Oryzias latipes: one gene and its partners. The main gene of each other region encodes a partner of the protein of the gene in region 2 in a complex. Links are inferred from orthologs where the notes say so. Each region holds a gene or a part of one and is shown on either strand. Other genes may lie near its edges. The genes, in order: tmem107, tctn1 and mks1.

The links.
Region 1: tctn1 (region 2) and tmem107 share a complex: the UniProt entries of both Homo sapiens proteins name them as parts of the tectonic-like complex. The link is inferred for Oryzias latipes from reciprocal best matches to the Homo sapiens genes TCTN1 and TMEM107.
Region 3: tctn1 (region 2) and mks1 share a complex: the UniProt entries of both Homo sapiens proteins name them as parts of the tectonic-like complex. The link is inferred for Oryzias latipes from reciprocal best matches to the Homo sapiens genes TCTN1 and MKS1.

What each region holds. Positions count from the first base shown.
Region 1 is NC_019874.2:18,549,688-18,553,443, reverse strand, and holds tmem107 (transmembrane protein 107), read right to left. Parts: upstream 2,339-3,756; 5' UTR 2,032-2,338; coding exon 1,945-2,031; intron 1,615-1,944; coding exon 1,547-1,614; intron 1,466-1,546; coding exon 1,365-1,465; intron 1,124-1,364; coding exon of another isoform or gene 1,027-1,123; intron 951-1,026; coding exon 854-950; intron 691-853; coding exon 621-690; 3' UTR 269-620; downstream 1-268. Other genes in the region: tripartite motif-containing protein 46, read left to right, coding at 2,830-2,889, 3,600-3,756. UniProt on the Homo sapiens protein: Plays a role in cilia formation and embryonic patterning. Requires for normal Sonic hedgehog (Shh) signaling in the neural tube and acts in combination with GLI2 and GLI3 to pattern ventral and intermediate neuronal cell types.
Region 2 is NC_019868.2:27,631,633-27,634,079, forward strand, and holds the end of tctn1 (tectonic-1), read left to right. Parts: intron 1-42; coding exon 43-168; intron 169-239; coding exon 240-325; intron 326-400; coding exon 401-538; intron 539-620; coding exon 621-774; intron 775-865; coding exon 866-997; intron 998-1,524; coding exon 1,525-1,671; 3' UTR 1,672-1,878; downstream 1,879-2,447. UniProt on the Homo sapiens protein: Component of the tectonic-like complex, a complex localized at the transition zone of primary cilia and acting as a barrier that prevents diffusion of transmembrane proteins between the cilia and plasma membranes.
Region 3 is NC_019872.2:25,018,139-25,021,794, reverse strand, and holds part of mks1 (Meckel syndrome type 1 protein), read right to left. Parts: intron 2,482-3,656; coding exon 2,377-2,481; intron 1,966-2,376; coding exon 1,857-1,965; intron 1,742-1,856; coding exon 1,685-1,741; intron 1,252-1,684; coding exon 1,209-1,251; intron 1,127-1,208; coding exon 1,064-1,126; intron 990-1,063; coding exon 919-989; intron 1-918. UniProt on the Homo sapiens protein: Component of the tectonic-like complex, a complex localized at the transition zone of primary cilia and acting as a barrier that prevents diffusion of transmembrane proteins between the cilia and plasma membranes.

The DNA of each region.
Region 1 (3,756 bases), on a different chromosome or scaffold from region 2:
TAGACATAATTCTTCTATATTACAACATGTCTCACTACATTAATAATTTAGGAAAGGATTTTTCCTCCCTAAATCAATTTTAAATACTGTTTCTTTTTTTTGATAGCTGCACAAAAATGAAGTTACTGTTTCATGTTTTGTAACCTTGCGGTTCTGGATACTCTTGTCGCCCGACTTTAATTTATCTTCTGGCTCAGTTTGGTTAATATTTCTCTGACAATTAAGTCACCAAATGAGGATAAAGATAGATACAATGAGAGAAATAAGACTTATTTAAAAAAGTATAAATGTATTTTGGATTTAGCGTTGAAAAGCTTTACATGAGAAACAAATACACTACTGACAACAAAAAACTTGGTTTACATTTTAAACTTTTGCTAACTCTCCAACTTATTCAAAACAAACAACATAGTATAATTATTTTTTGTAATTACATAGTTCAAAATATATTTACAAAGATTGAAAAAAAAAACATTCTTTCTGGATCTATTGATGCCTGCTGAAGAAATTCTAACAATGTTGGCCCCTTTTTAAGGTGATCTAATAACTGAATTTCTGCAGCTACTGTCTTGTAGCAACAAATGGAAGCGTTCATCCATTCAATCTGAATCAACTCCTCTTCATAACGGCTTCTTCTTCAGTCCAAAAACCGCAATAAACAGAAGAATCTCCACAAAAGCTGGCAAGACACTGAAAGATGAGAAATAGAAAAAGAAATTAATAGAAATCCAGAAAGATAAAAGAACAATCCTTAAATGCATTCAAATTCCTTCAAAATAAGAGTGACTGTTACAGTATGCTGTCTTTCTAAAAGCCAACTATTCATTGAAAACAAGCATGCAGGCGAACCAACCTGCAGGTGGCAAAAATCACCCAGTAAGTCCAGCATTCCCATTGTTCAAACACAAAGAAAGACAAAGATACGGATGCGGAGCAGTGGACAGCTAATGCTGAAAGGAGCAGCTGTCAGGGAAAACTTTGGGGAAAAAAGGATAAAACGGATTTGCTAGGCGTCAAAAGACTAACCTGCAAATAGCAAAGATCCACCAGTAGATGTCACACTCCCACTGCTCAAACAGAAAAAAGAGCAAAGCCACAGAGGCACTGGCATGGACTCCTGTTGCTATAGCAGACAAGTTCTTAGTTACGGAATTGTAACTAATGACTAATAAGCATTGTTTAATCCATTCATTTATTCTTGTAAATCATGTTTTCTGCTATAAACCAGATGCTCATTTAGAAGCTAGAGCTGCTGGAGAAAAGACAATATCTGAAAATCTTTATTTTCCTCACAATTGTGAATCAATAGTTCAGTATCAATGACCATGACAAATATGAATCATCACTGTCAGTATAAAGGATACACAGAAGACCCTGGCTGGAACTGAACATGGAGACTCCTGAAAAGAAGCCTGCTAGCTCGATAGCAAACAGACCAAGAGTGGCTGACAAGGCTACAACCAACCTGAACAATAACCAAAGGGATGCGGGTTAGAATGTGAGCATTCAAGATTTTTTCATATATTTTCAATCATTTGTTACTTACTTTCTGTCTTCTGTGTCATACTGCTCCTGAGTAAACTCCAAAGGCAAACATGCCTTCACATTATTCTCCTAGAAAACAGAAACAAATACATAAAATAGCCGATTATGGTAACATTTCTAGATAAAAAATTGTTTATAAAAAAAAGGAGAAATAAACTTTTTGCAGCAAACAAAAATCTATATTTCTGCAGTTTAGGAAAAATATTTTGTGGAGTAGAATTTATTTCTATTTCACGATTTTTTTAAAAACTTTTGTTCTTTATTTTAAAATCACAAACTACACGTTATTGATATTTACAAAAAACAATAATAATATTAATAATAATAATAAAAAATATTTCTATGGCAGCTTGAGTCGTCCTTCAAGCTTTAACAACAACACGGACTGTCCTTACTTACCCTGGACCAAAAGATTGTGATGACGATGACAAGGTGAGCTATGATGGTGAGAAACCGCGCAGGAATTAGACTGCTAATAGAAGACATGTTGTTTCTGGTTCACAGAAGTGTCAGAAATGCTAGAAAATTCTAAATTTTAAAGCCAAACGGTCACGTTGGAGTTCACAGATCTCACACAACAGTCGTCGCTCCTGGTTCGCGGTATATCAACGCAACCGCGGTTCAATAAATAATCCAAAAATGATAATCAAGCATTTTTAAAGCCAATGAACTTATAAAATTAAAATTTTACTCTTTAATAGTCTTTTTTCTAAACAAAATTATACATAGAAATTTAACACACCCCGGTGTCGCATTGGGTTGCTACAACAGCCAGTGGCTGGGTGCATCCAATATTGCGACCCGTAAAAACATCCACCTTCCAAACGTTCCGGACACAAAAGGGAAGTGGATGCGACCCATCGCCTTTGTTGTTAAGCAGCACACAACACTAGCATCTAACGACAACACACACACAAAAATAAAACATGACAAAGTTAACGTGTGATTGTAGGATGAACATAGCCTCGCGTATCTAAAGAACGTAGAAAAGCCGATTTTTTTTTGTTTTTATTTTCTAAAAGAATGTTTTTTAAACGCTCCCCGATAAAGCTAACATTTTGGGGCAAAACGCCCCCACCCCCCTCCACCAGTTTCAGCAACCATTCCATTCGCATTTGGATAGACGACAGAGATTGAGCAGCACACCTCAAGCACAGCTATCTGTGCACGTCAGGGCCTAGTGTTTGCTACAAAACAGCCGGGGATTATTTTTCACACCCACTTAATAATCGTTTTAAACGAAACATTTTTTCTTTGGAAGCGTGCACATCAGAACAACAGAGCATGGCAGAAGAGGACTTCCAAACCTTTACCTCTGTCATGGACGCGCTGGTTCGTATCAGTGTAAGTGTGCGACGCCGGTTTATTCTAATATAGCCATTTCAAACGTGCTACATCTAAGAGAGGAAAAACAATAATGTAGTCTTACATATAACTTGCTTTATTGATAGTATGTTGATCTGGACAATCATGGCTATGAAATAAGAATGCGGAGCATTTTTCTACCGTTTACAAACATGTTTTGTCATCGCTTTAATAACCCGGAATAGGCTGAAAGCCACAGTCAGGTGGTGAATGGCAATAGAAAATATACAGTCGCAACGACCACATAATTCATTTTTAATAGATATAAGAACCTAAGAATGTTGCCAAATAGCATAAAATCAGGGCCAGAGGAAGATGTGCGTTGTCATAGAAACCGGATGCCGCGCCTTGTGGCTGCAGTAATGGAAAGGGGCCACCACAACCTAAAAAAAAAAGAAGCAACAATCAATGGCAAACAGAATGTTTCTGCATTGTTTGAATTGTTTTTTTTTATTAAAAATAATGTCTCAGCCAATTTACTCTTAGAAATAGGAAGCAGTGAAGCAATCACAGGAGGACTGCTAAGCATCATGGAGGTTACGTTCTTCTTTCCTTCTTGTCCTGTGCAATAAACGGCACACAACCAGAGTTCATCTAGATATTTCCTTCATCACTGCCATCATTTCCTTTCTTTAAATCAAGTCGCAGCTCTGTTGTCTTCTTGAACTTTCCTCTTCCCTCTTCTCCAGTCCAACATGAAGATGATGGAAAAGGAGCTGCTGTGCCCGGTGTGTGACGAGATCGTGAAGCAGCCCGTCCTCCTGCCATGCCAGCACAGTGTGTGTTTGCTGTGCGCGGCCGAGGTGTTGGTACAAAGAGGCTACCCTCCTCCAGACCTCCCTCCGG
Region 2 (2,447 bases):
CGTTTTGGGCGATTGGATTTTTGAAGAACTTTGTCTCTCCAGGTAGTTTATGTGATCCGGTACAACGCGGCGGGCGAGGTGGTGAACGCTGCCGTCTCCGTGGTGCTGGGGTTCATCCGCGGAGCTTCGGTGCTGCTGGAGCAGGAGTTCCAGGCTACATTTGTCCAGGTGCTGCAGCACATCCTCACTCGCCAACGGTCTCTGGTCACATGACCGTGACGTTAGTCTGCCGTTTGCAGGACGGCGGCGAGCTGGCTCTTCGTCTCAGCGGAAATCCCGGCTATGTGGTCGGACGCCCTCTCCTGTCTGGAACGAAAACCGCAGAATATCCTTCCACAGAGAAGAAGAGACGGTTTCTTCACGCCTGTCTGCCGTTCTGCGCCTTGACCGCGTTCTCCACAGGGATCAGCAGAAGCACGGAGCTCAGAGATGCTCTGTCTCTGCTCCACAGCTCCGCCGAGCAGGACTGCCTGCGTGGTCCTCACCGGCGCTCCCCGGTCCTCTTCGGTGTGAACGCCGTGTCCGGCTGCACGCTGAGGCAAACGCGTCCCGCTCCCGTCAGCACGCCGTCTGTGGCCTTCAGGTCACCTCTGACCCTCTGACCTCTCTGATCTGCACAGGCTGGATGACGCAGCCAACTGCTCGCTGGTCCTTCAGCAGCTCCTGGACGTCCTCAGAGGACCAAACTACCCGCAGTACGTGGCTTCCTTTGGAAACTCCCCGCTGAACAAGCAGCTAGACTGGGTCTCCATCCAGAGCAGCTTCAGTCCTGTGGTGAGACCGCCGTGACCCCATCTTCTGCCGGGCGTCTCCGCTCCACAAACACTCCGGTTTGACTCGTCTCCGCCGTGACTGTGACTCACAGGAGGACCAAAGCTGCAGCCTCCCGCTCTCACTCCATCTAGAGATCGAATGGACCAAATATGGATCCCTGGAGAACCCCCAGGCCCAGATAGTGAGCATCCGGGAGATCATTCAGACCAACAGCAGCAGTTTGGTGAGACTTGAGGAGCCGCAGGTTCAGAATTCAGACTTTAGACTTAGAAAACACAGAACATTTAGGTTTGGGAATAAATTTAGATTATCCAAAGACAAAAGCGGCTAGGCTCCGCCTCCTCAGACACAAACGTCAGGACGAAGAATGATGCCTTAAAAGACGCCGTCTGCTCTCACAGCTTCATGCTAAATGATCACTTCCTGACCTTTTATCACACTTACTCCATCAGACTCATCATTTCAACAGACAGAAATCAAATCAAAGCGTTTGTCATCCGTCTGGGACGGTTGTTGAATGTCTTTGACTGAGACTGCGGCGGTTTTGTTACGGTGGACTCAAACCGTTTTAGATCGAGTTGAGATATTTGTTAGAAACAAAAAAACAAACATATTCTGGAGATGAGAGACAGGAAATTCTGCCCACAAACGAACTCTCCTGCAACTTTTATGTAACGTCTTGTCATAAAGCGACACGTTTGCGTCTCCAGGTGGGATGAACTCTAACCCTCTGCTTTCCGTCTTCCGCAGCCTCTGCTGAGCGGCGGCGGCGGCAGCCTGCCGGTCAGAAGCTCTGTGGCCTTCGTTCCAGTTTCTGCAGACGCACTTCCTGGTTACAGAGCCACGCCCACCATCGACGCCAAACTTCCCTTCAACTTCTTTTTCCCCTTTGTTTGAACAGACGCCTGCAGGCTTTGTGGTGTAATTTATGTAAATAAGATTTGATAAATTATTTTTTTCAATCAAAAGTCTTATTTAAACCTGTTTTTGTTTTTTAACCAAAAAAAAGGCAGAAAGGAGAAGTTCAAGTTATAAATCTTTAGGAGTTTTTAGTTCCAGAGACACAGAAATCTCACTTTTGGGGGGGGGGGGGGGGGGGGGGGGAGCTCAGGAAAAAGCTGACATGAACCCGAGTTAATCATCATACGAGAGCAGAGTTTGCATTAAAACTGACCACAAGCAGAGCTTCAAGCCTAAAAGTATTAGTATATATGAATAAAATAACGTTTGTGTCAGAAGCTCATGTGGTTATGAGACTGAAACTTGAATTTAATTATAAATACAGAACTGCCTTTTCCTTTTTCACTTTGTTTTTTTTTTAAGATTAAGTAACTGCAACTATAGAGTTCATAGCTGACATTATTTTATAAAAATAAGACACAATAAATGAAAAGTTAAAAATTTTACTGAGATAAAATGACTTATTTAATTAAAGATATTTCTAGTTAAGACAAGTCGGCCCACAAAAGATACATCCATCTTCAGAATTCACTGAATCCCTTTTAGGGTCACTGCGTTGCTGGAGCCTATCCCAGCTACTGACCAGGGCCACACATGCACACTTAGTGGCAATTTAGAGACACAAAATAATCTATGAAGCATGTTTTTGAACTGTGGGAGGAAACTGGAGAAATCCCAGATGTGCACGAGGACAACATGCAAACTCTAGGGAT
Region 3 (3,656 bases), on a different chromosome or scaffold from region 2:
TTACGCCGGATGCCCTTCCTGACGCAAGCCTCTCAAAGCAACCGGGCTTGGGACCGGCACAGAGGTAGAGAAGGGAACAGGGAGCAGCCCGGATTTGAACCTGGGTTTCAATTCAATTCAATTCAATTCAATTTTCTTTGTATAGTCCAAAATCACAACAACAGTCGTCTCGATGGGCTTCGAAGTAAAACATGAACTTCCACAGACGGAAGGCGCCGCAAACCAGCACGAGCTAAACCGGCTCCCTAGTCTCTTACATGCAAGCAATCAAGATTTTTTTTTTTCTAAATGTAAGCCATTAAGTATCAGAAAATATACAGGAATGCATTGTCAGTACAAAACCGAGATGCACCTTAAAGCAACAACCACTTGACAAACTTGTTTTTTGTCTCTACACATTTACAGGGCCTTTTTCCTTTGGGCATCTAGCTTAAAAGGGACGCCCAGTCAAGACTTGCACATTTGACTTCAGTTGTACAGCAGATGCCAAACCCTGTTCTTTAACCAGACTTGGGACAGGCACATGGAAACACTGGAGAGTGCCCACTGTGTGCCCGCAGTCATTTACAGCACATAGTAGTCCCAGACAATCTCTCATTAAAGAAACAATCAGGCGTTACCCCGGTTAGCTTCTGGGGACTGGTGTGTCCAGGGTGGCAAAGCCGTTTATGGATTCTTTTATTTCCAGTTACAGAATTTTGCAGACAGACAGCAAGTTGTGGCTGAGCTTTATGCTTTAACTAAGCCTCTGCTGCACTCTCCTACACTGATGCTCTTACTTTTCCAGTCTTTTAAAGGTATGTTTCGGCAGAGACGTTCATTGTCGACTCAGCAATTGCTAGTCTTGAAGACTTTTTTAGATAAACTGTTGTGGAATTGTGTAGCTTTTCAAGCTAAGCGTATGCAAAACGTTCACACCTTTTCAAGAGACTTGGTCCGACAGGTCTGGGTGACCTCTGATAGAGACTGAGAAGGCAAACTGGACCAATCTGAAAGAAAAACATCAGTTACAGCTAAAGAGGCAAAAACAACAATCAAACAACTACTGATACTTAAGACTTACTATTGGGCAATTCCAAAAAGAAGTGTATGTACAAGTTGTCATATTCAAAGCCTTGAGCTGAGACTGTAAAAAAATAGTAGTTATTAATTCTAAACGTGTATTATATATATATAACTGCTAAAGTTAGCTCTGCCTTTTGACTTACCTATTTCTCCGTTCATCAGGTAACGCAGTGTACCTGCAGGAGGCTAAACAACACACATCTCATAGCTCACAAACCTAAATACAAGTCAACATTTACTCAAGTGATAACTATCCTTAAACCTTAATCCTTAAACCTTTTTTTGGCTAAAACTCCTCAAATGTAAGAATTTGCTCTTTAGTATATAGTTGATAGATCATAACATACTTGTCTTTTTTTTAGACCATGGTAAGCATTGAAAATTTGAATTAAAAACGTTACATTAAAACGCCTTACCAGCAATTAACGACATTTATTCAACGGAAACAATAACATACAGGCTGAGACTGCAAGAGTCACAATAACACCGAATGTGGAAAAAATGGACACTTTTCAACAAATAGACACAGGATTGACCTCTGTTTTGAATGTAGTTTGTGGTTTGTTTTCATGTAACAAAAAATCAATAAAAATAAAGTTTAAAACAAAAAACGCCTTACCATTTCAAAGTCCTGTCCAACAAGACCACTGAGGAACTCTTTGTGCCTCACATACAGCTATAAAGAGGAGGGACAAAGTTGATCCTGATTACAGCTTTCATCTTCCATTTTAGCAATAAAAATGTTCTGAATCTCTTTCCTGGTTTATTAGAAAATGCTGATATTGACTCACATCTTTATACATGTTCTGCTCCTTGTTTTTTTCCTCTGGCTTCATGCTTTTTGATACGTTCTCAAAAGTAAGACGCCATATTTCTCGGTTTTCTCCCTCAGCGACAATCCTGTCCAACGACACAAACGTCCGGTTAAATGTCTGATTCACTCTATTATTTTTGCTGTGGTTTTAAATGTACTTTGCTTTTTTCTTTTTTTAAACATACAATCGTTTTAGGATTTGCAGCTTACTGCTGCCATTCTACTCATCCCTTGTGCTATCCTAGGCACTTTACCATTGGGAGTTGGGTCATCTAGACCCACTATTCAGTGCTCTGAACTTTTTTTCTTCAATGATTTGTGATCTTCACTGGTGTCCATGGATTACATGAAATCTTTCCACCTTTATCCACCTTTGTCATGGTAGGAATTACACGTCAATGCAAGGGTGGGGTCATCTAAGATAGCACAAGGGTTAAATGATACGCTAAAAAATGTAGGATTCATTCTCAGCCATCACAGAAGCCTTGTAAACTTGCCTGTAGGGCTCTCGGCCTTTGTTGAAGTCAGGTTTTACAACTATAGTTCCATGGCCGTCGGTTTTTATAGTTATCAGCAGGCACTCGTTCTCTTTTTGACCAAGCCTGAAAATTCACAATAAACATCCTGTCAAATGGTTAGTAGAGCTTTGCACTGGCCAGCTCTGCATGTCATGAGATTAAAAAGTTTACCTCTTACAACCCTTGTGCTGTCTTGTGGGGTATGTGCATCTGGACCCCACAAAATAGCACAAGGGAAAATATCATACAAAACATCAATGATTTGTCTGGTTTCAGATGTAGAAAATACATGTAGAGAAGCTTTATCCTCAGTCTAAGTACCAATAATAATTTACTTAATTTATATAGCACTTTTCGAAAACGAGATTACTAAATTCTGTACAATTAATATGAGACAAAATCCGGATTACAAACAGTTTACAGTATGTAGTAATAAAACCCAGCACACACACAAAACAGTGATAGCAGTTAAAATCAATGAATCAATAAAAAAAAAAAAATTTAAATAAATCCTATGTTTAAATTTAAGAACCGGTAAAATCATTAAAAGCACTCCTATAGAGGTGGGTTTTTAAAAGAGATTTAAATAATGGTAGGGACCCAGCGAGCCTGATCTCTTCAGGGAGACTGTTCCAGAGTGTTGGGGCTCTTACAGCAAAGGCCCTGTCTCCCCTGATCTTCAATCTAGATTGTGGGATTGTTAAAAGGCCTTTTGCCGAAGATCTAAGATTGCGACCAGGTACGTAAGGAATGAGGAGATCGGCTATATATTTAGGGGCCAGACCACAGAGTGCTTTAAATGCACTATTAATGCATCATTAAAATCTATTCTAAAATGGACTGGGAGCCAGTGCAAAGACGCTAAAACTGGAGTGAGGTGGTCTCTCATTCTGGTTTTGGTTAGGAGTCTGGTGGCCGCATTTTGGACTAACTGGAGTTGATACACACTCTGCTGTGAAAGACATGTGTAGAGTGCGTTACAATAGTCCAGACGGGAAAAAATAAAAGCATGAATCACCATCTCAAGACATTTTTTTGATAGGAGAGAGGTTATTCTGTATAACCTTTGTATTTGCCAGAAACAAGATTTGACCACAGATTTAACATGGGTCTCCCCATTCAAATTGGTATCAAATTTCACTCCCAGATTTCTGCAGCTTGAAGAAACATTGTTAGACAAAGACTCCAATTTCTGAGCCACACCATTTCGGGCCTCAACTGAACCAAAAATAATAACTCCAGTTTTGTCCATATTCAAC